Linked DNA regions of Alligator mississippiensis. The protein of the gene in region 1 interacts with the protein of each later gene in a pairwise test. Links are inferred from orthologs where the notes say so. Each region holds a gene or a part of one and is shown on either strand. Other genes may lie near its edges.

Region 1 (7,103 bases):
GCGCAGGCGCCGAGGCCGGGCAGAGGGCGGGGCCGGCGGCTCGGCTCCGCGCAGGCGCAGTGGTGCGCCCGTCGGGGCCCGGCCTGGACGGGGCGGGTAGCTCGCTTCCTTCGCTGCGGGGCCGCCTCCATGGAGCCCCCTGCGTGGGAAAAGGCATCTAGGCCGCAGCTCAGGGCCGGGGGGTCTGTAGCTGGGTGATGTATAGGCACTACTCACTTAACGTGGGAGTTACCGTCTTGAAAAACACGACACGATGTGAAGCGAATCCAGTTCCATCGCAGTCGTCGCCCAAACAACGTTACAACCGAGTGTCGCCCGACCCTAAACGAGCGTGCTCGCTGATAGAGCACCGCATCGTGACAAGACGCCGTGAAGCGAAGAGCACCTGCAGATACGGGGGTGAACGAAGCACGAGGCTGACGTTGGCTTCCTTAGGAACCGATGCCAGCCTCGTCAGCGAGAGCAAAGCTCTGCGCTGAATGTTGGACGCCCCATCCTGTCCCGTCACGGCTAAGCCGAAGTACTGGGAGCCGAGCCTGGAGCTGCGGGCTGGCGGAAACCCATCCTGGCAAGACGGGCTGTCGTGTTCTGCGGGAGACGCACCTGCATTTCTGCCGCCTTCTATCCCCACGCGCAGTGTGGTCACCAGGATCTCTCTAGCCCGGCTCCAAGGGTCCCAAAGACCTGAGCTGCCACCACAGCTTCTGAAATGCTGCACGGCAGCCTTAGTCTAAAAGAAACAGAGCTGGAAAATAAATCATTTCTTTGTCCAGGAGTGTGGCTTCGTACACATTTGCAGTCTAACAACCAGCCACAGAATACCATGTATCCACTGATTTTGGGTACACGGTAATCTCCAAAATGTAGACACACATTTGTAGACACTGTTTCTGTTTATGGGTGGTTTTAGAATAAGAGTACCAGCAAGGACACTTTGAATCTTTCAAAAAAAAAAAAATCAGATTCAAAGTATGTGTTGTCAAGCTCAATGTCCAAGAATGTGTAATTAATAGTGTCTCCCGTAATATATACTGTGTTGCAATGGCGAGAACGGTTATCATAAATAAAAGGAGACATGGATAAATTTATAATTAAAAATGCATTAGAAATTACAAGCATAATTTATTTACTAATGTGTACTGGAATAAATTTTCTGTGTAATATTTTAAAATGTGGCATTAATAAATAATCGTAAGCATAAAGTGGTGTTTTGCATCTACATGTATTTTAATAAATATTAGAATTAGACATGCTACAAAATTCTAATAAAATTATTCAAATAAGAAAACCAAACTTAAAAGTATCACAAATGGCATCTGTTGGAATGAGACAAGCAAAGGTAACCATACTACAAGCTGTACTATATATATATATATATATATATATATTCTTCTATTTATATATATACTATATATATAAATAAATAAATAATATTCTTAAAATGTGAAAGTTTTCTTTAAAAATAGCTGCAAAGGAAATTTGTGTGTGTGTCACACACACACTCTATAAATATTATTTTAGAAGAGACAGCACTAGAACATTCCTGCAATTAACAGCTGCTGCAAGGCTGGGTCTGGGCTCCAGCTCCTACCCACTACAGTCTTCCTGTGTGACCTCTATCAATATCCATTTTTTATTTACTTATTTTACAATACCCAGCAAGCTTATGCTCTCTCCCTAGCTGATGAGCAAAGCAAATTCCACTTTAAGTCCTCTTTTACACTGTTTCTAACTTTGACAAAGCTTTATCAAACCTTGCAGAAAAATTCTCATTAGCATTCTCAACAAACAGTCATTTTCAGGCCCAATTATTTTTTTTCAAGCTCAAGTGTTTGAATTATAGGTCATTAAATGATTTGGATCTAATGGTCATTCTGGTATATTGCTGTCCTTCCAAACTTTCCACGTTATTAGAAGTTACTGAAAATACACACCTCAGCCCTATTAGAATAAAACGGGATGCATTTAAACAAAGATAATTTTTCAATAAATTATGCATCATTTCCATAATAAAGCTGAGGTGCTTTTGTCATGAACTAAGACCCCAGTGCTCTGTGTACTGTGTTATCAGAAACCAAGGGATGGTCAATGCCCCCAGCAGCTTAAAAGTCTTCCTATTGAAAACAAAAGATAAACGGAGGAGTTTAGGGAAACAATGGGACAATGCTGGCCAGCCTGGTAGAAAGTAGTATCAGCACATCAGCAGCCTAGCCATTGCCAAGGACGCCACAGCAAAAGTTTTAATATTTGAAGGAAAATAATGCAGTAACTTTGCAAATACTTACAGGGAGCTGTTTCCACGGGTGAGGGGGCAGCACAGGAGCAAGCAGGAAGCTGTTTGAAAATGAAATGAGTGGATAGTAGTGGCGTAATTGGCTAATTGGAGGCAGGAATCAAGATCTTGATAGTGCACAAAAGATGATAGATAAGGAAGGGAGAGGCTGTGAAGGGTATGGGAAGTGAAGACACTACTGCTTATCTTTCATGTGATGAAGAAGCCATTGGAGGGGAGCAGAGGGATGTCAAGGCCAAAGGAAAATAATTGTTACAAAAACATTCTGGATGAACATCAGTGGGATGAGACTGCATTCAAGTTTCGGCAATCAAGGGGAAGTCATGAGGACATGGGCGGAAGCATTAGTTGTGGGGAAGGACAGGAGAGGCCTAGAGATGTCTTACAGGAATCATCCGGAAGATTTCGGTACACAGTGGACGTGCAGATCGAGAGATGACACTCAGGTTACGGGCCTGGGCGACAGGCAAAACGACAGTCGTGTCAACTGTGCTGGAGAAGGGCGGCGAGGGGAGCTTGGGAGGAAGGTGAAGCCCTCTCTTTTGGCCATGGTGCCGGCCAGACACCTACAAAACACAGATGGAGCTGTTAGCTTGGACATGTTCCCTCCTATCTAAAGCCACCCTGTGACAAAGCACCCCTGAAACATTCAATATCATGCTGATGATCTGCAAGGTCCCTTCCAGCCCCTAACATCTATGAATCTACGTTGTACTGATGGCAGTCCCCACGCTCCCCAAGCCAGGGAGGCCTGGTTTGCGCACTGGTCACAAGTGACCCAGGCCCACTGTCTGCAAGGCCGCCATCGAACGGGTCGTTCCCCTTGTGCAGAAAAGGGCCTTCCAGCAGCCCCCAGTTTTGTTCTGTCCAGAGGGGCCAAACCGGCCTGGTTTTGGAGTCACGATCCCAAGAGGCTGTTTTCAGGAGCACAGTGGTGGCTTCAGAGCTGCGCAGGCCTCACCGGCAGTGCCGGATGTAGGCTTAAGCCACTTCAACTACAGCTTGGGGCCTCCCCATGCGAGGGGCCCCCAAATAAGAAAAAAATCTGGACATTTTCATTCTAATATGACAAAAATATACACAGATACGACTCCCCAGGTATTATTCATGTCACTGGCGACGCACAGGGGATGCACGCGGGTGCACGTGCACCCCCTGCGAAAAGGTGCTGCCACCCCCAGCGCCTCAGCGTCTGCGGGCAGTCCCATGATCGCCGCTGGCGCCGCCACACCCCCGCTGCCCACAGCCGTGCCCCCAGGTGCTGGCGCTCATGAGTCCCCTCACGATTCCAAGTGGGACACAGGCAAAAAATAATAATTGCAGAAAAACATCTTTCTTTTTTCGTTAGGCCACCTCTCAGTGGGTGCGAGGTGTCGATTCCCGCCTCCCGAATCACCACGTGAGGATGCCGAGGGCACCCACGAGTGGCTCCAAGCCCGGGTGGGGGGACCTCATCCGGTGCCTAGCGGAAGCCGGGCCGCCGGCGCGTTGCCATGGAGAGGGAGGAGGCGGGGCCGGCGCTGCCACGTGACCATTCGAACGCGCCAATCCGAAGTTCGGCGGGGCGGGCCGAGGGGCGGGGCGCGGCCCCGCGCGCTCCCACTGGCCCGCGCGCCGCCCTCCCATTGGCCGTGGGTGGCGGGGTCGCTCCGCCGGCGCGCGGGGCCCGGCCGGCCGGGCAGGCGGGCGGGCGGCGGGTGACCCCGGCGGCGTCCCGTCCCGCGGCCCCCATTGGAGGGGCGTGTCCGGGGGGCGGGGCGTGCGCGGGGTCAGGGGCGGGGCGTGCGCGGCGCGGAGCTGGCGCGGCGCTCGCCTCCTCACAGGGTGACACGTCTGCGGGTGAGTGAGTGGCGTTGGCAGCCTGTCAATCCCTCACCGGAGCGGCCATCAAACAACATAAAACACACACAGTCACCGGCCGCCGCCTCATAAATTCCCGCTGCCGGATATTTTTGCACAGTGCTTTGCCGAGAGTCGTGTCATTAATTTTTTTTTCCCCCCCCCCTCCTCCTCTCCCTTCTCTCCTCTCGACCTCCCCTGCTTTTATTATTATTATTATTATTATTATTGCTATTTTTCTTCCTCACAACTTCAAACTTTTGAGGTGTTTTTCCTCATTTTTCCGGGGTTTTTGTTGTTGTCGAGCCCCTCAGCACACACCACTCCCGGTCGGGCGGGGGGGAGGGGGGCAACTCATTCCCCTAATAATTTTTTTTTTTAATTTTCTCCCCCCCCCTTTTTTTTTTTAATTTTCTGCCCCCCACACACTTTTTTTAATTTTTTTTTTTTTTTACTGTTTTGTCGGCTTTTTTTTTTAATTGTTATTTTGTGGCGGGGCGGGGGCGGGGGGGCTCCGGGATTGTTTTGTTTCCTCCTCGCTGGGTTTTTTTTTTAATTTCCGATTTCTCTCCCCGTGTGTGCGTGTGTTGTTCGGGCCGAGAAGCACCGGGCGCTCGCTCTTCTTTCCGGACCAAAGCCCCGGCAACAAAAAGGCAGCAGGGAACAAGCCAAGCGGTGGAGGAAGATTTTCTCTTTTTCTCCTTCCTTTCCCCCCCCCGCCCCCCGTTTTGTTTTTTGTTTTTTTTCCCGCCCCCCCACCCGGACACGCGAACTGCGAGGAAAGCTGCTCAAGTGCTCGGTGCCCGCCGCAAACATGCTGGCGATGATGATGATGAAGGAAGATTGTAACTAGAGAAGAGGGTGATTTACTGCGCGGGGAAGGAGCGGAGCGTGGAATAAACAACCGAGATCCGGGCAAAGCCCAAATACTGATTTTTGTTTTTTTTATTATTATTATTTTTCTTCACCTATCTAGATTTTATTTTTTTTTTTAATTTTTTTTCTCCCGCCAGGAACTGCCGCTGCCTGCCAGAGCCAGAGATTTATTTGCCTTTTCTTTTGGAGGCAGCAGCTCCTTGCTCGCTCGCCCGGCTCGTGCTCCGCTCCGCCGCCGCTCGCCCGCCCGGGCTGCGGGAGGAGCATGGATGATCAGTCCAGGATGCTGCAGACTCTGGCCGGGGTGAACCTGGCCGGCCACTCGGTGCAGGGGGGCATGGCTCTGCCTCCTCCCCACGGACACGAAGGGGCAGACGGCGACGGCAGGAAGCAGGACATCGGAGACATCCTCCATCAGATCATGACCATCACTGACCAAAGCCTGGATGAGGCACAAGCAAAGTTGGTTTCGTCTAATTAAACCTTCTCTTTTTTTTTTTTTTTCTTTTTTTTTTCTCTGTGTGTGTGTGTGTGGTTTTTGTTTCTCTGCGGAGTCTCACCATTAGAGCAACTTCTTAATACTGTGGGAGAAATGCAAAGCAGCAAAGGCAGAGCCCAAGTTGCTATTCATTTGGGGGTTTTTTTAAATCGCTAGATCTATCACTTCGCGATGCTCATCCCATCCCTCTCCTCCATTTGACCGCACTACCGCTCTCGCTGCGATAGTCCCATTTCACCGCCGTGCCTTGGGGCGCTCCCCGCCTGCCCCCCTGGCGCACCCCCGTCCCGGAGCGGCTGCCAAAATCGGTCTGTGCTCCGGGAGGCTTCGCTTGCTTGCTAAGAAGTGTAACTTTCTTTCCTCCCCTCCTGCCCCCGAAGTGGCGGCAGATGAATTGCGAAGCTGACAAGATATTGCTGCAGGGGGAAAACCCTCAATGTTTCCAATCACAGTAAATACAAAACAAAGAAGGCGAAGTCTGGAAGTCCCGTCCCCCCCCCTCCCCCCCCCCCCCAATAAATCAGGTGCAATGTAGCGGCATGGAAAGGGCTGCAGACAGGCGGTGACGGATGCACATGGCATCGCGGGGCATTTGCACACAGCTGATGCGATGCCCAGAAGCGGGCCGGGCCGGGCCGGGCCGGGCAGCAGAGGGGCGCCCCCCCCCCCCCGTTCCCTGCGCCCCTTGTCCCCGAGGTCAAACCCCGGCTCGCTTCCTCTCCCCCGGATGGTTGGTACTTTGCACCCGCCTCGGGCCAAGCTGCCGCCGCTGCCCCGGCCCGAGCCCCCGGGGCGCCAGCCCGCACGAGCCTGACTCCCCGCCGCCTTGCAGGGCGCGGGGCAGCGTGGCAATTCAAGCATTTTCTTGCAGAAAGGCGCCATATTCTCAATAGCTGGTGCTAACCCGTGTGTTTTGTGTTGTCTGTTTTGCAGAAAGCATGCACTGAACTGCCACAGGATGAAGCCTGCTCTGTTCAGTGTCCTGTGTGAAATCAAAGAGAAAACAGGTAAGAGCCCAGGCGGGCCGCGGCTCTGCCCAGCCGAGCAGCGCGGGGCTCTCCTCCGGCTCGGGCTGCTCGGGGCACCGCAGCCATCTTTGATCATTGCCTCCTTCCCTGCTTCTCATCCCGGGGAGGGGAGGGGAGAGGAGAGGAGAGGAGGGGAGGGGGGCTGCCATAAATCTGCAGCAAATTTTACAATTCATAATCCCGATGTAAAATGAAATGTAGATGAAAATGATCGTGTGTCACCGTCCGCAGAGTCCATTCCCCCTCTGGCTGCAATCAGGGAAGGAGCAGAGCAGCTGCCTTGTTTGTGTGGCAGCTTCTTAAAGGAGCGATGGGAGCTCGCAGAAGCCAATTGCAGAGTGAGAGCAAGGGAGCAGCCTGGCCGGCAACTTTCTCTTTGACTCGGGTCACCTTCTCGTGGAGCCCTGCAATTAGCGCAGGATCTGCCATAGGACACAGCCCTGACCAGGCAGGAAATGGGCTGGAGCCTTCCGAGTTGCTCAGGGACCTGCATGTGTCTCTAGAAATGTGTGCACAAATATATGCGTACCCAGGCGTACGTTCCTGCGTATTATGACAAAAGATTTTC
Region 2 (6,924 bases), on another chromosome or scaffold:
GGGAAGAGCTACCCAGGGGGTGCTTCTAGTTGCCCTGAAGAGCCATGTCCCCAACCCCTTGCCATGAGAGAGCACAGTGAGCCGGTGCAGACATCACTGCACAGAGGGTCCAACAGTGACTGCGACCTGGAGAGCTGTTCAAGGCGGCTTGGGTCTCCAACCCTAACATGAGGCTGGATGGTGCAGGTGTCACTGCATGGAGGGTCCGGTGAGCTGCTCAAAGTGGCTCAGGTCTCGAACCCCAGCACCAGTGCAGACGCTGCTGCATGGTGAGCCATTGTTGGGCCAAGGGCCCTTGGAGGGGGCAGGGGGTGGTTCCCCATTCCCCACTGCTCGGAACAATGGCCCATGGGCAGCGCAGGCTCCGCAGCAAGGCGGCCCTGTACTGGAGCCCTGGTCCTGGGCACACAACCTGCTGAGAAGACCGAGCCATCTGGACATGTGAACAAGCCACGTGGGAATGAGACAGAGCACTCACTGCAGGAGCCACTTGCCTAGCTGGGGATGAAACACTGGGAACCCCTACTCACCGGGAAGCTTGACTTCTTGGACAAGGGGTTTCCCACTGGGGAGGGATATCAGAGTGGGTTTAGGCTAGAGAGAGAGAGACTCCTCTAGAGGAGGGGGGCATTTGGGATTATCATGCCTTACATTTTGGAGTGTTTATTAATTGCTTGTTGTGTTTTCTATTCTGAAGAGTTTATTCACTATTTATTGTGCTTTACATTTTGGGGGCGCTTACCCACCAGTTGCTGGGACATACTTACCCTCTGAGGATCCATGGGTGAGGTTTCTCTTGTGGATCTTGGGGACTGCTATACTTACCTATTATTTGTTGACTTGAATGTATTATATGTAAAGAGTTATCTTTATCACCCATCCAGTTTATTCTATCCCCTCACCTTTTATTCTGCATCTGAATAAACTATGTATATAGTTAAGATATTGTGTCCTGGTCTTCCTCTAGAGACACTGGAGAAGGGTAAGCTGTGAGCAAGCTGCAGTTTCCATTTCCAGCACATACGCCCTGCTGATCATCCCCTTCTATTGGAAAGGGGGCTTGCACACTCCGGTACACCTGGGATACAAATGTAAGAAAAGAACTGGGTGTTCTAGGTGGTAGGTAAAGTACTTTTAGTAACTTAGACCTTGACCCTAAAAGCACTTACACAAATGCCCACCATTCAGATAACTTGGTACTACTCACTGCAATAAATTTAACCAGGTATAAAATTGTTTCCAGGCCCAGTTGTTAAATGTATCTGATTTAGGGATACACATACAACTTCAGTGCTCAATATGTTCTACTTGCACAAATTGAAATCAGTTTGGGAAGACTGGTATTTCATCATCATTTGCAATTGCAAAGCTTATAAATGTTGCCACTTATTCAAAGCTTCTTCCAATGTGTTATTGCAGGTATTAAACATTTTGTACAGCCAGGTTTACTTGTAAGTTCCATGCTGTCCAAGAAAAGAAGGTGACTGACACTTAAGTTTCACCATTGACTTCCTGTGTGCACCTGTATTTGTGAAGAACACAGTGTAATAGTAAGCCAGTTGCGTGAGTAATCTTCTAATGTATTTATTGTGGAGAAAACCTTCACTGTGGTACTGAGTCCTCAATGTTTTGTGACTGAGAAGGAGAGGCACAGTAAGATCTTAGCACCCAGAGATGGAGAGAAAAAAGGATTTAATTTTCCAAATTTTTCATCTTCTATTATTCTCCACTGTTTTTTCTTCTTCCTCTCACTTTCTATTCTTTTTTCCTCCCTTTCATTCTCTTCAGTTTCTAAATGTTGCAGACTTTCTGAGATGGGTGATCCTGATTTCCCTTCTATTTTCTTTGCTGAATCTTACAAACGTTATTTTCACAGTCCTTAGCTCCACATTGCTCTGCCTGCCTCGAAGAAAACTGGTGAGCACAAGAGCTGACAAAGAGGCAAGAAAAAGGACCAGATGACAATTTGTGACTGGCCAAGTGAGGATGGCAGCATAGGGTGACTAGATTCCCAAAGAAAAAACTGGGATGACATCAGCTGGGAACGGATTGGGGGCATGACAGCAGGGGACAAAAGCTGCTATGTGCAAGGGATATGTGACAAGCCTGTTGCATATATGCTCAGGTAACTTGTCTTGGTAACATGGGCTCTGCTGACCAGTGCTGCCTCAAACAGCCTGGTCTGGCAGAGGACTGTAAAAAACCCAAACTTAGCTACTGGGCTTACAGGGAAGTCAAGATAGGCCCTGAATGCAGGAAGGTCCCCAGGGAAAGCAGGGGTTCATGGCCATCAGGCAGCTTTGCCTGGCCTGACCCTGCCCGGGGCTGCAAAACCTGGGACAAATCACTGGTTTTTAAACAAGCTCCTGCCAGGCACCAGACCATGGCTGGCACTGTGGGGAGGCACTCTGCTCTCTGTAGGGGAAAGGGAGCCAGGCTGCCCCTTTCCCCTCCGTTCATGGCATTGAACGAAGCAGGCTGCCTGTTGCCTCTGCGAGCTCAGGCCTCTCTGAACCAGCTAGTCTGTGAGGCAGGTATTATCAACCAGGCGGCCTTGAGATCCTTTAGGGATGCCCCATGTGAGGCATGCCAGCACAACCCGGAGAGAAACCCAGAGGTTTCCAAGAGGACCCCAGAGTACGGCAAATGTTCTGCCCTGCTGTGGGCTTTCTGGACAGGCCGATGGCCCCTGTACTTTTCCATAAATCCAAAAAAACCCCAAAAACAGGAGAGGAGGGGGGAAACAAAGCCGGCTTTTCCTCAGAAGCACCCTGCGAAGAGGGGCCGGGTGCCTAACTAGGGTTGGCAACCCTGAGTCTATTCGAGGAGGTTTCCAAAATGCCAGTGTGCCTGCAACACAACACGAATGCGCCCACGTACTTGTGTGTATCAGGTACGGATTATGGTGTGTAGACGTTATGTCAAGAAGGCAAATGCACGTGACTGTTACATTTTAAAAACCCACTGGACTACTGTACAAATCAGATTCAACATTTAATCTTTATTTTAATGAACGCCCTGTCATTGATCTCTCAGGTGACTCCCAGCAGTCTCCTGGAGATTTCTTTCTCATTCCTAGAGACACCAGGGCAATGCTGGTGGGTTGGCAACCCCAAGCCAAAGGGTGCCCTGAGCCTCCAGGAGCTGAGCACCCCCTACACGCTGCCTGATCTTTCTCCCGATTCAGGGTGGCGCTGTACAGATGGGCAGTGTCGCCCAATTGGGTGGCAACAGCGGGGCAGTCTGCTAGCTGCCAGGCTCTCAAGGACCGGTGTTTCTAGGAGGGGGGGATAGTGCTGGGGACACATGTGCTCTCGGGAGCTGGTGAGCGGTGTGTTGCAGGGCATGCATGGCGCTGGGACTGCCACGGCCCACCCTGGGGCGCCACTTGCAGCACACCACTCCCCTGGGGCTCACAGGAGCACCTGGGGCAGCCCCAGGCCAGGTCTGCAACCCCCAGAGCCCTTGGGCCCACAAGGGAGGGCCTGTGGGGCAGAGGCCTGAGTTGGGGGGCTGCATAGTAACCACCCCTTCCCTTCCAGGAGGAGTGCGTGGCCTCCCCCTCATTTAATTTGGTATCTTCCCCAAGTCCCCCCACCCTCTACTTCATTTGGTATCTTCCCCCTGCCCCCACCCCGGAGAGTTAGTTCCATCTCCCTCCCACCCCCGACCGAGCTGAAAGGGGCGGTGCAGAGCTGGGCGAGTCCCCGCCCCCTTCATGAATATTCACAAGGCTGGCGGCGCGCAAGCCGGGGAGAGAGAGAGAGAGGAGCGGTGGCCCCACCCCCGAGCCGAAGCTAGCGGCCGGCGCTGGGCGTGTCCGCGGCGGGCCCCGCCCCCGCGGGGGTGAATATTGATGAGGCGTGGCGCGCGGCGCGGTGTCGTGGCGGGCAGCGCGGGCGGCGATTGGCCCGCCGCGGGTGTGCGCGGTGACGCGTGTCGCGGCGGTGCGGGTCCCGATTGCTGCAGCCGCTTGTCAGTGTGACGAAGATTGGCACCCAGGTAAGCGCTGTCACTCAAACCCGCTCCCAGCCAGCTCCGCCAGCCATCCATCACGGCGCGCCCGCCGCCGCCGCCCGGAGCCCCGCCGCGCCGTGCCGCGCGGCCCGGCCGGGGGGGCGGGGGGGGCAGCCCGCCACACGGAACAGCGGCGGGGGAGGGGGCCGCTCGCGCTCATGCCCAACCCGAGCGGGGGGGGGGGAAGGGAGGGAGAGAGGGAGGAAGGGCGGGGGTGAGGGGCGGTGGCGGGCAGGGGAGGGGGGAGCGAGGAAATTTCTGGAACAGCCGCCGTGGAACCGTTGTCTGGGCGAGCGCGCGCCGGCCGGGTGTGGGCAACAGCTGTGCGCGCGCGCGCGTGTGTTGGGGGGGTATTTAAAGGCCCAGCAGCAACTTGGGGCACATTCCGATGGAGCCGGGGGTCCCTAGCTCTGGTCTTAACACCTGCCCCAGTGGGGCTCCCTTCCCCCCGCCCCCCTACGCGCAGTGGTGTAGTCCGCGGGGAAGCGGTACAGCTCCCTCCGGAGTAGTAGTGCGGCCCGGGGTGGGGGGGGGTTTCTCATAGCGCCTGGGTATCGAGTGCCCCCTCCTGCCCCTGCACCCACTCCTACGGCAGGAGGCGGGGCAGCCGTTGCCGCAGTCGCGGCCCCCAAGCGCGTGCAGCGTGAGGCCCCGCCCCGGCGGGGCAGCGGAAGAGCCCGGCCCGCCTAGCCCGCCGAGGCCTGGTCGCGGTGCGCGCGGCTCGGGGAGGGCGGCTGGCTGCGTCCAGCCACCTGCCCGCTGCTGAGCCGGCTGCTGCGTGTGCCCCAGAGGCTGGGCTCGGCTCTGCAGCAGCTGCCGCCAGCAGATGTAATAGTCACCTCGGGCCGCCCAGCGTCCCCCGGGCTTCTCCGCAGCCTGGCCTGGGAGCTACTGCTCCCCCGGGGCCGGACCTGCTCTGAGCTCATGTATTAACACCGACACCAGCACCTGGGCCTGCTCTGTGCTTCTGCATCTCTACTTCTCAATCTCCATTTCACTCTTTCTCTCTTGAATTTTATCCATGCAGTGGTTCTGGGCAGCTAATGCTCCAAATGATTTTAGAGGTGTAGTTGCAGTGGCGTGGGGTTTTTTCCTCTTTTTTTTTTTTTTTATCTTGACTTTTTTTTTCCTGCTGGTGCCCAGGTTCTCAACCTTTTTTGTACCAGGACCCATTTGTAAACATCGATGGCCAGCCCGGACCCAATGCCCCTCACTCCTGACCTGCTGCCCAGTGCCCCCAGTGTGCGCGGGGGCGGGGGGGGAGGGGGCAAGCAGCCCCTTGAGGGGATGGAGCTCTGCCAGCCTGCAAGGGAAAAACCACAGTTTCCCACGTTTTTCTCTAAAGAAAAATCCATTTTTAAAGTTTGTGACCCTTTCATGTATTCTTGCAACCAGTTTTGGGTCATGACCCATGGGTTGCAAAATGCTGTGTTAGTCAGCTTTGATTGATTGATTTGTTCCTCATTTAGGGTAACTAACGTATCTCAGGGGAGACCATTAGGGTCCTGATCTGTTTCCCTTATTCATCGGAGTCTTGTACCTGCTATATATATAGTTTTGGCCACACAGTTACAAATGCTGTCCAGGCAGGGTTCATTTTTTTCCTCAGCCCCTTTTGGAATCTGCTGCGTGTTCCATTAAGTTGGTTACTGAAGTGAAGAGACTGTGTTTTGGCCTGGCTTGCAGACTTTGGAGAACCTTTGAGTCACAGTTGTCTTATGTCACAGTCCCTTTATTCTAAAATCTCATTCAATTAAAATAGTCTTGCATTTTTTCACCTTTTTAAAAATCTTACAATAAAGTGAGCACTCATATTGCTGTTTACCTATTCAGGTGTTCATCATCTTGCTTAGAAATTTATTTCTAAGTGTTCTTCACTTTTCTTTTTGCTACAGTATCACTCTTTTGATAAGATGTGATTTTTAGAGGTTTTTAAAAAATACATATCATTAGTATAGCTACCAACGCTGCAGCAGTTGTATCACTTTACAGATCCTGGTATAGTCCAAGTGGTAAAACGTACTTATTGCAAGAATGAATGTTAATTGTGCATGCAGAAAGCCATAGTCTCTTAAATTGCCTTGAAGGGTAGAAAGCTAATGACTGCTGCAGTATTAGAAATTCCCTGATACAAAGTCACAATATTTAGGGCAGTTTTAGGCAAAAAAAAAAAATATATTGTAGACTCACTTTCTTAATACCTCTGCCAAAAATTGCAGAATTGTGTTTTTTAAATATGAAAATAACTGCTTTTGTATTTAATCATGCATTGGTTTAAATTGTCGAACCTACACACGTAACAAACCATATATTTGGGTAAAACAGTATCTTGCCTCATTTGATTTCATCCTTGGTTTTTAGCTTATCCAAAATCTCTAGTTTTTCAAATTTTGTTACAAATGAGAATATTTTTTGCTGTTTGGTTTATTCTGGGCAGTGAAACATGCTCAGTGCCTGTCCCTGCAAGTAGCAATAATTTTCGATACTTCCCTGCATTCTGACAACAAAAGGCACAAATGAGAGCTTCAGAAGAACATAAGAAGTGCCTTACTAGGCGTGTCTACACATTGATTAATGTAATTACAGCGCATTAAGTTTAGTACCTGCAACTACAGGTACTAACAATGCACCAAAATCAGTGCTACTACACATTAGTGCAGATGAGCACTCTTAATGTGATGTTAATGCATGTGACTTAAGTCTATTGCGCATTAGCATGGTTTTTGCCAGCTGTGCCAGTGCACAGTAGAAGGGTATTCTGTGCATTGTCTTGTGTAGATGCACTCACTGGGTCAGACCAATGGTCCATCTAGCCCAGTATCCTGTTTCCAGGCGTGGCAGAAGTGAATGCTATACCAGGAGATCATTGAATGAAATATCTCTATAGAGTGCTTTATCCCCAGTTCA
Region 3 (7,736 bases), on another chromosome or scaffold:
GAAATAAAAATAGATCCTGGTTTTGTTTTGTTTTTTAACTGAGTTTATTCTTATTTTCCTTTAGGCACATGACATTTGGACAAAAGGATAAAAGGCAATAAATGAAAAGTAAAATATTTTAAGGTTAGAAAAGCGATGGCAGACTGGATCTGGAAGGCTAAGTAAAAGGAAGAGATAGGCCAAGTTCTTTGCACTTAAGCTTATGTAACAAAGAGCAGAATTTAGCCCTCCCAAATGTCATTGTAGCATACTGATTGATCACAATGAATATGTCTTCATCTATAACAAAAGATACCCATTAAAATCACCATTGCCACTGGAAAGTGTTCCTATGTCTTTAGATCAACATGGCTACAACCTATATCCTCTTTAAGATGGAAAGCTTAATTTAGCTTAATAGTTAAGACCTTATTTAAGACAATGGGCAGTAATGACAGTGATCAAATTCAGGCTGAGTGGCCATTTCCAGTGTATACCTCCCAAGGCATGAAGCTGGAAGCAATTTTCCTTTTTTTTTCCAGATAGCAAGAACTTCAATGGAAAGCCTGCTTAGTTTCTTTTTTAATCTGGGCCTGGCTCAATTTCCAGTAAGAACAGGTAAATCCTTTGTGGTATTAAAACACAGCATATATGAATCCAATACATCTGATGTAAAGATGCACTGGCAGCCTGAATTCACAATTTCACAGGTTAGTCTGTCAGCCTTCAAGCTATTTTCAACAGTTTCTTTTCATGATGCATCTGCTGTGAGAAAACCTACTTCCTTCTACAGTAACATGGCACTGGAGTCTCAAATCCTTTCTGCAGAAAACAGGTATTTCATGGGTAATAGCCACACAGTCTTTCCACTGCATCCCACCCCTGAGATTGGCATCACGGTTACTAATTTTAGTATCTACTTTGACAATGATTTCCCTGATAATGCACCTGTCCAGTGGAACTAAAGCAAGGCACAGCACTCGTATTACACTGGTTGGCAAAACCATCAAGGAGTTAACTAACTCAGGGTCATTTCTGACTTGCCTGAGAATGGAGGACTGCACACATACAGAAGCCACAGGGTGGAAGTCAGGTGTGTACAGGGCTCCTCTGGTGGTTAGACCAGTCGACTCAAATCTGCAGCTGTAAGTAAGACTCTAGTCTTGTAACCTACATTTCCCCAGGCTCTCATGCTCAATTAGTAATCACAGCTGCGAAGCTGAAAACCCTTCTGCTCCAGCTTAATTCTAAGGACCTGACCTGTCCCAGTGAGCTCAGTGAGGGCACTTGGGTAAAGTTGGGCGTGCAGATAGAAGGCTGAGGAAATGTAAGCACATATGTGTGTATTTGTATGTAGAAACATGTATGTGTGTGTATACTTCGTATGCAGAAGGGTGCCTGTAATTTGTATGCAGAAGTGTGTGCACGTGTACCACATAGATAGAAGGGCACGCATACTTTGTATGTAGAAGGGTGCGTGCACTTCATGTGTAGGTGCCTGCATTTTGTATGTAGAAGTGTGTGTACCATATAGGTAGAACAGTGTGTTCTTAGTACAGAAGGGTGTGTGCACTTTGTATGTAGGTGCCTGCAGTTTGTATGTAGAAGTGTGTGTACCATATAGGTAGAACAGTGTGTTCTTAGTACAGAAGGGTGTGTGCACTTTGTATGTAGGTGCCTGCAGTTTGTATGTAGAAGTGTGTGCATGTGTACCATACAGGTAGAACAGTGTGTTCTATGTACAGAAGGGTACATGTACTCTGTATGTAGTTGCCTCTACTTTGTATGTAGAAGGGTGTGTGTGTGTGCGTACCATGTAGGTAGAAGGGTGCGTATACTCTGTACACAGAAGGATACGTGTACTTTGTATGTAGGTGCCTGTACTTTGTATATAGAAGTGTGCATGTGCATATCGTATGTAGAAGTGTGTGCGTGCGTACCATGTAGGTAGAAGGGCATGCATACTTTGTATACAGAAAGGTACGTGCACTCTGCATAAAGGTGCCTGCACTTTGTATGTAGAAGTGTGTGTGTGTGTGTGTGTGTGTGTGTGTGTGAGAGAACCACATAGGTAGAAGGTTGTGCATACTTTGTGTACAGAAGGGTGCGTGCACTCTGCATGTAGGTGTCTGCAGTTTGTAGGTGTGCGTGTGTGTCTGTGTGTGAACCACATAGGTTGATGGGCATGCATACTTTGTACACAGAAGGGTGCGTGTACTTTGTATGTAGGTGCCTGTATCTTGTAAGTAGGAGTGTGTGTGTGTGTATGACATAGGTAGAAGGGCACGCATACTTTGTACACAGAAGGGTGCGTGTACTCGGTATGTAGATGTGCATATTTTGTGTGTGTGTGTGTGTGTGTGAGAACCACATAGGTAGAAGGGCACGCATACATTGTACACAGAAGGGTGCATGCCCTTTGTATGTAGAAGTGTGCGCATGTGAACTATGTAGGTAGAAGGGTGTGTGTAATTTATACACAGAAGAGTGTGTACTTTGTATGTCGGTGCCTGTATTTTGTATGTAGAAGTGTGTGTGTGTGAACCACGTGGGTAGAAGGGTGCGCATACTTGTGGAGTGCACACACCCTGCTGTGTACATGTAGCTGCCTGCACTCTGTATGTAGGGCGCGGGAGTGTGTGTGTGTGTGTGTACCACGCAGGTAGAGAGGCGCGTGCACCCGCACGTAGGCGCGCCTACTCCGCACGCAGCCGTGTGCCGCCCGCCGTGTGGACGCGTGTGCCCGCGCCGTGTCCCCGGGCGGTCGCGCGTGTCCGTCCCCCCCGCCTGCCCCGGGCCCCGTGCGCAGGGGCCGCTCGCGGCGGTGGCGGTGGCGGGACGCGGCAGCCTCCCCCCCGTCCCAGTCCCGGTCCCGGTCCCGACTCACGATCTCGAGGCAGATGAAGGCCCCCGAGTAGGTGCGCAGGATGTCGAGGCCGCAGGGCAGCGTGACCCGCGGCGCCGGGAAGTAGGCGGCAGGGTTGGGGGGCGGCGGCATGGCTCCCCCGCGGGCCGACATCCCGCTGCGGCCCGGACGTGGCTGCGCCCAGGTAGGACGGGGCGGGGCGGCGCCGGGGGAGGTGCCGGCAGGTGCTGGGGGGAGGCGCTCCCGCTCCCGCCCCCGGCCCCGCCCGGCCCACGCGGCGCGGCGGTGTCGGGGCTCCAGCCCGCGAGGACGGCGATCCCGCACCGTGCGCGGACAGCTCGCCCGCCTGCTTCGCCACCGTCCTCCTCAACCTCAGCCTCCCTGGCTGCAGCTGGAGCCCTCGCTCCTCGCTCTGCCCTCGGCACCGCCGGCAGCAGCCCGGCTCCATCCTCTTGCAAGCCCCCTCCGGGGACTTGGAGGCTGCTGTTGCAGCCCGCTGCGTTATTATGAAATCTGTGAAAGCTATGCATTTAAATCGCCGTGCCTCAGGCCTATACGGAGGGGGGCCCTCGCAGTGCCAACACGTGCCCCTGCGGGCAAGTTCAAACCCTGTCCCCCATTGTGTTTACTGTGCTGCCTGGTGGCCTTCGAGCTCTTCACACAGGGTACATATAGCATCGCCTGAAGATGACTGGCACAATAATGTTGCCTTCAATTTATGCCGTAGATGCCGTCCCTGGACGGGGGGGCACAAATCAGGGTGACTGCCACAGGCCCGGTGCTTTGGGGGGCCCTGCAGAGCCAGCTCCACCCCCTTCCCCCCATTGCCAAATCTTCCGCTTGGTTTCTTGCATCCAGGAGCGGGGCCCGGCACAGGCTGTTTTGCCCTGGGCCACGCACCCTGCTTGGATCATCTCTGGTTCCTGGGGAACAGCACCTACATTGAATTTGCACAAAGCATACCTAGTTTACAGTGGAACAGATAGGGATGCCTTCCCGCGGCAGTGAGGGACAGAGACTGGGGCTAGGGAAAGGGCGGGGAGAAGAGTGTTCGCTGAGAGTCCTTGAGTCTACCCAGGGGTGTCTCGGGTCTAAAGGTGGTGAGAATCACAGGTCTAATGGTATTGCCAAGCCGAGCGTTCGGAAGTCACAAGTCAGTTCCCCTGCAAAACGCCAGGTCCGTGTATAGATCATGAAACTTTAAACTTTGGAGGAGACGGCATTTACCTTCTGGTTACAGAGGCTTTTCTCTAAGATCGTTTTCTGTATGACCATTCTGTGTGATCTACTTTTTAATAAGCAGCACAAACAAAAAAAGTGGAGGTTACAGTATGTTCATGGTGGCAGGAGCTGAAGTTTTAAGTTTTCCTAAGTTTTTTGGGTGCGACACATGATTTTTCAGAAGTAATGAATGATGCAGCCTGGACCAGTACCTCTCCGTAGGATCATGTATTGAAAATGGGCCCAAATACTGGGCACACATGGGTTTCAGCCAATTGGGTCTGGACTCAATCTAGTCCCTGTTTCCAACTCTTGTGTACACAATATGTCCCCAGGGTCAAATCTTTCTTCTGAGCCTTTCACTGGGATATGGGACTCTATAGTCCAGCAGCCATGTATCCCACAGTATCAGTCTCAGACCAGCTGAGTCCTGTCGTGGCTTATAGATGTACTTTTTGGGCGTGTCCAGACCCTGTGTGTACAGGTAGATCCCAGAGCCTCTTTTGGTAGATCCTGGGTTGGGGGGAAAGCTGGGCATGTGCACTTGTGCACACCCACTGCCCCCAGCCCCAGCAGGTCAATCTGTGGGGGAGGGAAGGGGCAGGGGCCAGATTGAGGTCTCCGTGGCGAGCGGCTGACTGTGGCCGGCCAGGAGCAGGGGAAGGTTAGTGGGGCCCCAGTCCGGCCAGGTGGTGGGAGGATTGGAGCCCAGGGAGGCTCCTCCAGTGGCACTTGGGGCTCCCTCCCCATCTCTGCGGGGGCAGAGGCGGCTGAGGTTGCTGCCGCTGTGCCTCAAGTCCTGCTACAGCTGGCCACGTGCAGGCGCGGCTCAGCTCAGCAGCAGGGACTCACGTGGGGGTGGTCTTGGCCCAGCCAGATCTGGGAAGATCTGGTCGTCCAAGGGTGCGTGGGGGGTGCTCCCACCGCTGGGCACAGCTTGGTGGAGGCCCTGACAGCCCGTGCCCCTCCCACCTGTGCTCGGGGTGCAGCAGGCAACCCACAGCAGCAGCCACCTTGTCCCCAGCGCAGGTTGGGGGACATTGGCCCCTGGGTTCTTTGCCACGCTGCACCCAGCAGCAAGAATGCCCTCCCCCAGTGACCACCAGACCATGGAGACTTTCAGACCCAGCCAAGCCAGGGCCCAACACCACCTTTCTCTGGCTGCTGGGCAGGTGCAACTCAGTGCAATTGCAGCACAGAAGGGGGATCAGGCCCAGCTGGATCTGGGACACTCCATGGTCCAGGGGAGCATGGGGCAGGGGGCGGAGGGAAGTGGGGCAGGGCGGGGCAGGGCAGGACAGGGGGGCAAGGCAGCCAGGGGGACACAGTAGATCCTGGGGTGACCTTTAGTTCCAAAAAGTGATCTTCACCATAAAAAGGTTGGAGACCACTGCTCTAATACCACGTTTTCTCCCAATCTGTGGTTTGTCAGTTTTTCAGGCTGGATCAAATCCATTTTGCACTCTCCTTTCCTGCATATTTTTCTTCTCTGTGATGCATGTTAGCCCTCCCCCACCTGCTACAGGACAACACCTTCTGTTAGACCCTGTCGCTAAACATGAGTTATACTGGGAATTTTCCCTTTCACCCAGTGATGCTCACCCTACCGGCTTCTGTGCAGAAGGCCCATTGTTTGTGGTGCCAAAAGTTGAGGGACAATCAGAATCAGCTGCCTTAGACTGGCTTGTTAGTGGCTGTCCTTCACCAATGTCAAATGTCAAGAATATTTCATTAGAAAGGGACTGTCCACAGGGCACTAAAATAAATTGCCTTGAACAAGTTTTGACATGTTCAGCACTAATGCAAAAAGGAGATTCAAATTAAAAACAATTCACAATTTGATGCAGACCTGTTTCACACTATCACAGAGCTCCTGATGAATTTGGGTCATTAGTGGCAGTTGTGAAACTTTGGGTTTGGCTTACTGCCTTCTTTCAAGTTTTATTTTGCTCTAACTTCGACTGAAGTATTAAGTACCAGCTGGTCCAATGGAACGTCATACCAGTAGATATTGTCAATACTTGCAGCTTGAGAGAGAATGCCAGAGGCAGAGCTATTTCTAAAAAGCTGTTTGGTCACCAATAAGTAACATGTTCTGTATTGGTAGATTGGTATGATTTTTGCCATGCAAAATTTGTGTGTTGGCACAGCCAAGAGCAGGTGTCTGACTGGGGGTGGGGCAACTGTCAAGGGGCAGGGCTACCCATGTGGCCCTCGACAGTTCACCAAAACTTCGTAAGTGGCCCTCTACCCGAAATAATTGCTCGCCTCTGTTTTACATGGTCTTTTGTGACAGTTTACATGCTTGCAGATTCTAATGGATTTTTGTTCTGTTTTAAAAGTCTGAATCCTTTAAGAATTTTAAATGTTAGGATGCTAATCAGTTAGATTCAGAGACTTAAGCAGGTGTTTATGTTGTAGAGTTCGCTTCATATGTGTAAATATTTGAAATATTTGCATTTCGGCCTGCTGTAGTCTTTCCAAGCTGTGAGAGAGCCTAAGAGAATTGTGGAAGTGTTGTAGGAAGCTAGTTAATGCTGAATTGTAAGCTTTGTAGGTTTAGAAAGGATATTGATCCATTGATCCAAACCACATAAACAGAAATGGCTTATGCAAAACGTAAGATAAACTATAATCCTTTATGACATGTGGCATTGCCCATAGCAAAGTTTAAGGCATAACATATTACATATCACATCTTTTAGGCACCTCTGTTATGGTCTACCCTAATAGAGAAGACAGCTTGTCACAAACCTCTCAATTCCCTGAAGTGTTTACCACAAAATATTGCCATGTTAACTGTGAAACATGGCAATGCCTACTGGGCTGGACAAAAGCAGCGCAGCTTTTATATCTCCCTTGTGAATGCAATGATCATGAGATATGACAGCTAATATTATGTGTGCCATAAATCTGCATTATATTTCCTTATCACCTGGACATGGTATAAGGTTTCCTGATTTGCAGCTAAAGATATCTGCAGGTAGTAATAACAATGATATATCAGATTTCATGTTCAAAGAACTTTTATAAACATTACTGAACTCTCCCAAGACCACTGGAGACTATGTATAGCTATTCTGATTTCTTTGTTTCATCCTGCAGTGTCAGGGTGAAACAAAGGCCACCAAGGACTGGGCTCCCAGAAATAAGGCATATTATCTGTATTTCTCTTTTTTTAAAGTAGGCACCCACATGGTCGTCGCTAGGAGTCAAATGCTGGCAATATTTGCTCACAGTCAGATTTGTGCACACTGCTTCATTAAAATAAATAGAGCAGAGTTCAATGTGGGTTTTTTTTCGGAAGTATAAGGACAGTCTTCTCCAGTTACTTTCTCTTTCTGTAGAAAAATAACAAGAAAGCTCTTTGGGTCCTTTTTAGCCTTGCAGAACTTTTTTTTTTTTTGCTTTCCTTAATCTGGTAATTATTAATATAGCAAAAAATGTAAAACCAGCTGCCAGTTTCAGCGGATCTAGACTGCCTTGTTTAAACTTGGATTCATATCACATACGTCTTGTACTTCCAACTATGATTCTGATAATAACTGGAGTAGCTCTAGTGAAGTCAGTGAAATCAAATTAGCATAAAACAGGCACGAAGTAAGATTAGAAATAAGCCTTTTAGTTTCTTCCTCATAGACTTTTCTTTCAGTAATCTACTGGTAACAGT

The links.
Region 2: the proteins of PBX3 (region 1) and PKNOX1 interact in a two-hybrid assay, tested with the Homo sapiens proteins (2 studies listed by BioGRID and IntAct). The link is inferred for Alligator mississippiensis from reciprocal best matches to the Homo sapiens genes PBX3 and PKNOX1.
Region 3: the proteins of PBX3 (region 1) and MAL2 interact in a two-hybrid assay, tested with the Homo sapiens proteins (2 studies listed by BioGRID). The two-hybrid records come from large-scale screens. The link is inferred for Alligator mississippiensis from reciprocal best matches to the Homo sapiens genes PBX3 and MAL2.

The regions. Positions count from the first base shown.
Region 1 is NC_081835.1:66,704,150-66,711,252, forward strand, and holds the start of PBX3 (pre-B-cell leukemia transcription factor 3), read left to right. Parts: upstream 1-4,036; 5' UTR 4,037-4,132; intron 4,133-4,138; exon of another isoform or gene 4,139-5,145; 5' UTR 5,146-5,273; coding exon 5,274-5,470; intron 5,471-6,411; exon of another isoform or gene 6,412-6,440; coding exon 6,441-6,514; intron 6,515-6,704; exon of another isoform or gene 6,705-6,964; intron 6,965-7,103. UniProt on the Homo sapiens protein: Transcriptional activator that binds the sequence 5'-ATCAATCAA-3'.
Region 2 is NC_081824.1:299,810,000-299,816,923, forward strand, and holds the start of PKNOX1 (homeobox protein PKNOX1), read left to right. Parts: upstream 1-3,897; 5' UTR 3,898-4,002; intron 4,003-6,924. UniProt on the Homo sapiens protein: Activates transcription in the presence of PBX1A and HOXA1.
Region 3 is NC_081826.1:23,438,607-23,446,342, forward strand, and holds the start of MAL2 (protein MAL2), read right to left. Parts: upstream 3,047-7,736; 5' UTR 2,999-3,046; coding exon 2,867-2,998; intron 1-2,866. UniProt on the Homo sapiens protein: Member of the machinery of polarized transport. Required for the indirect transcytotic route at the step of the egress of the transcytosing cargo from perinuclear endosomes in order for it to travel to the apical surface via a raft-dependent pathway.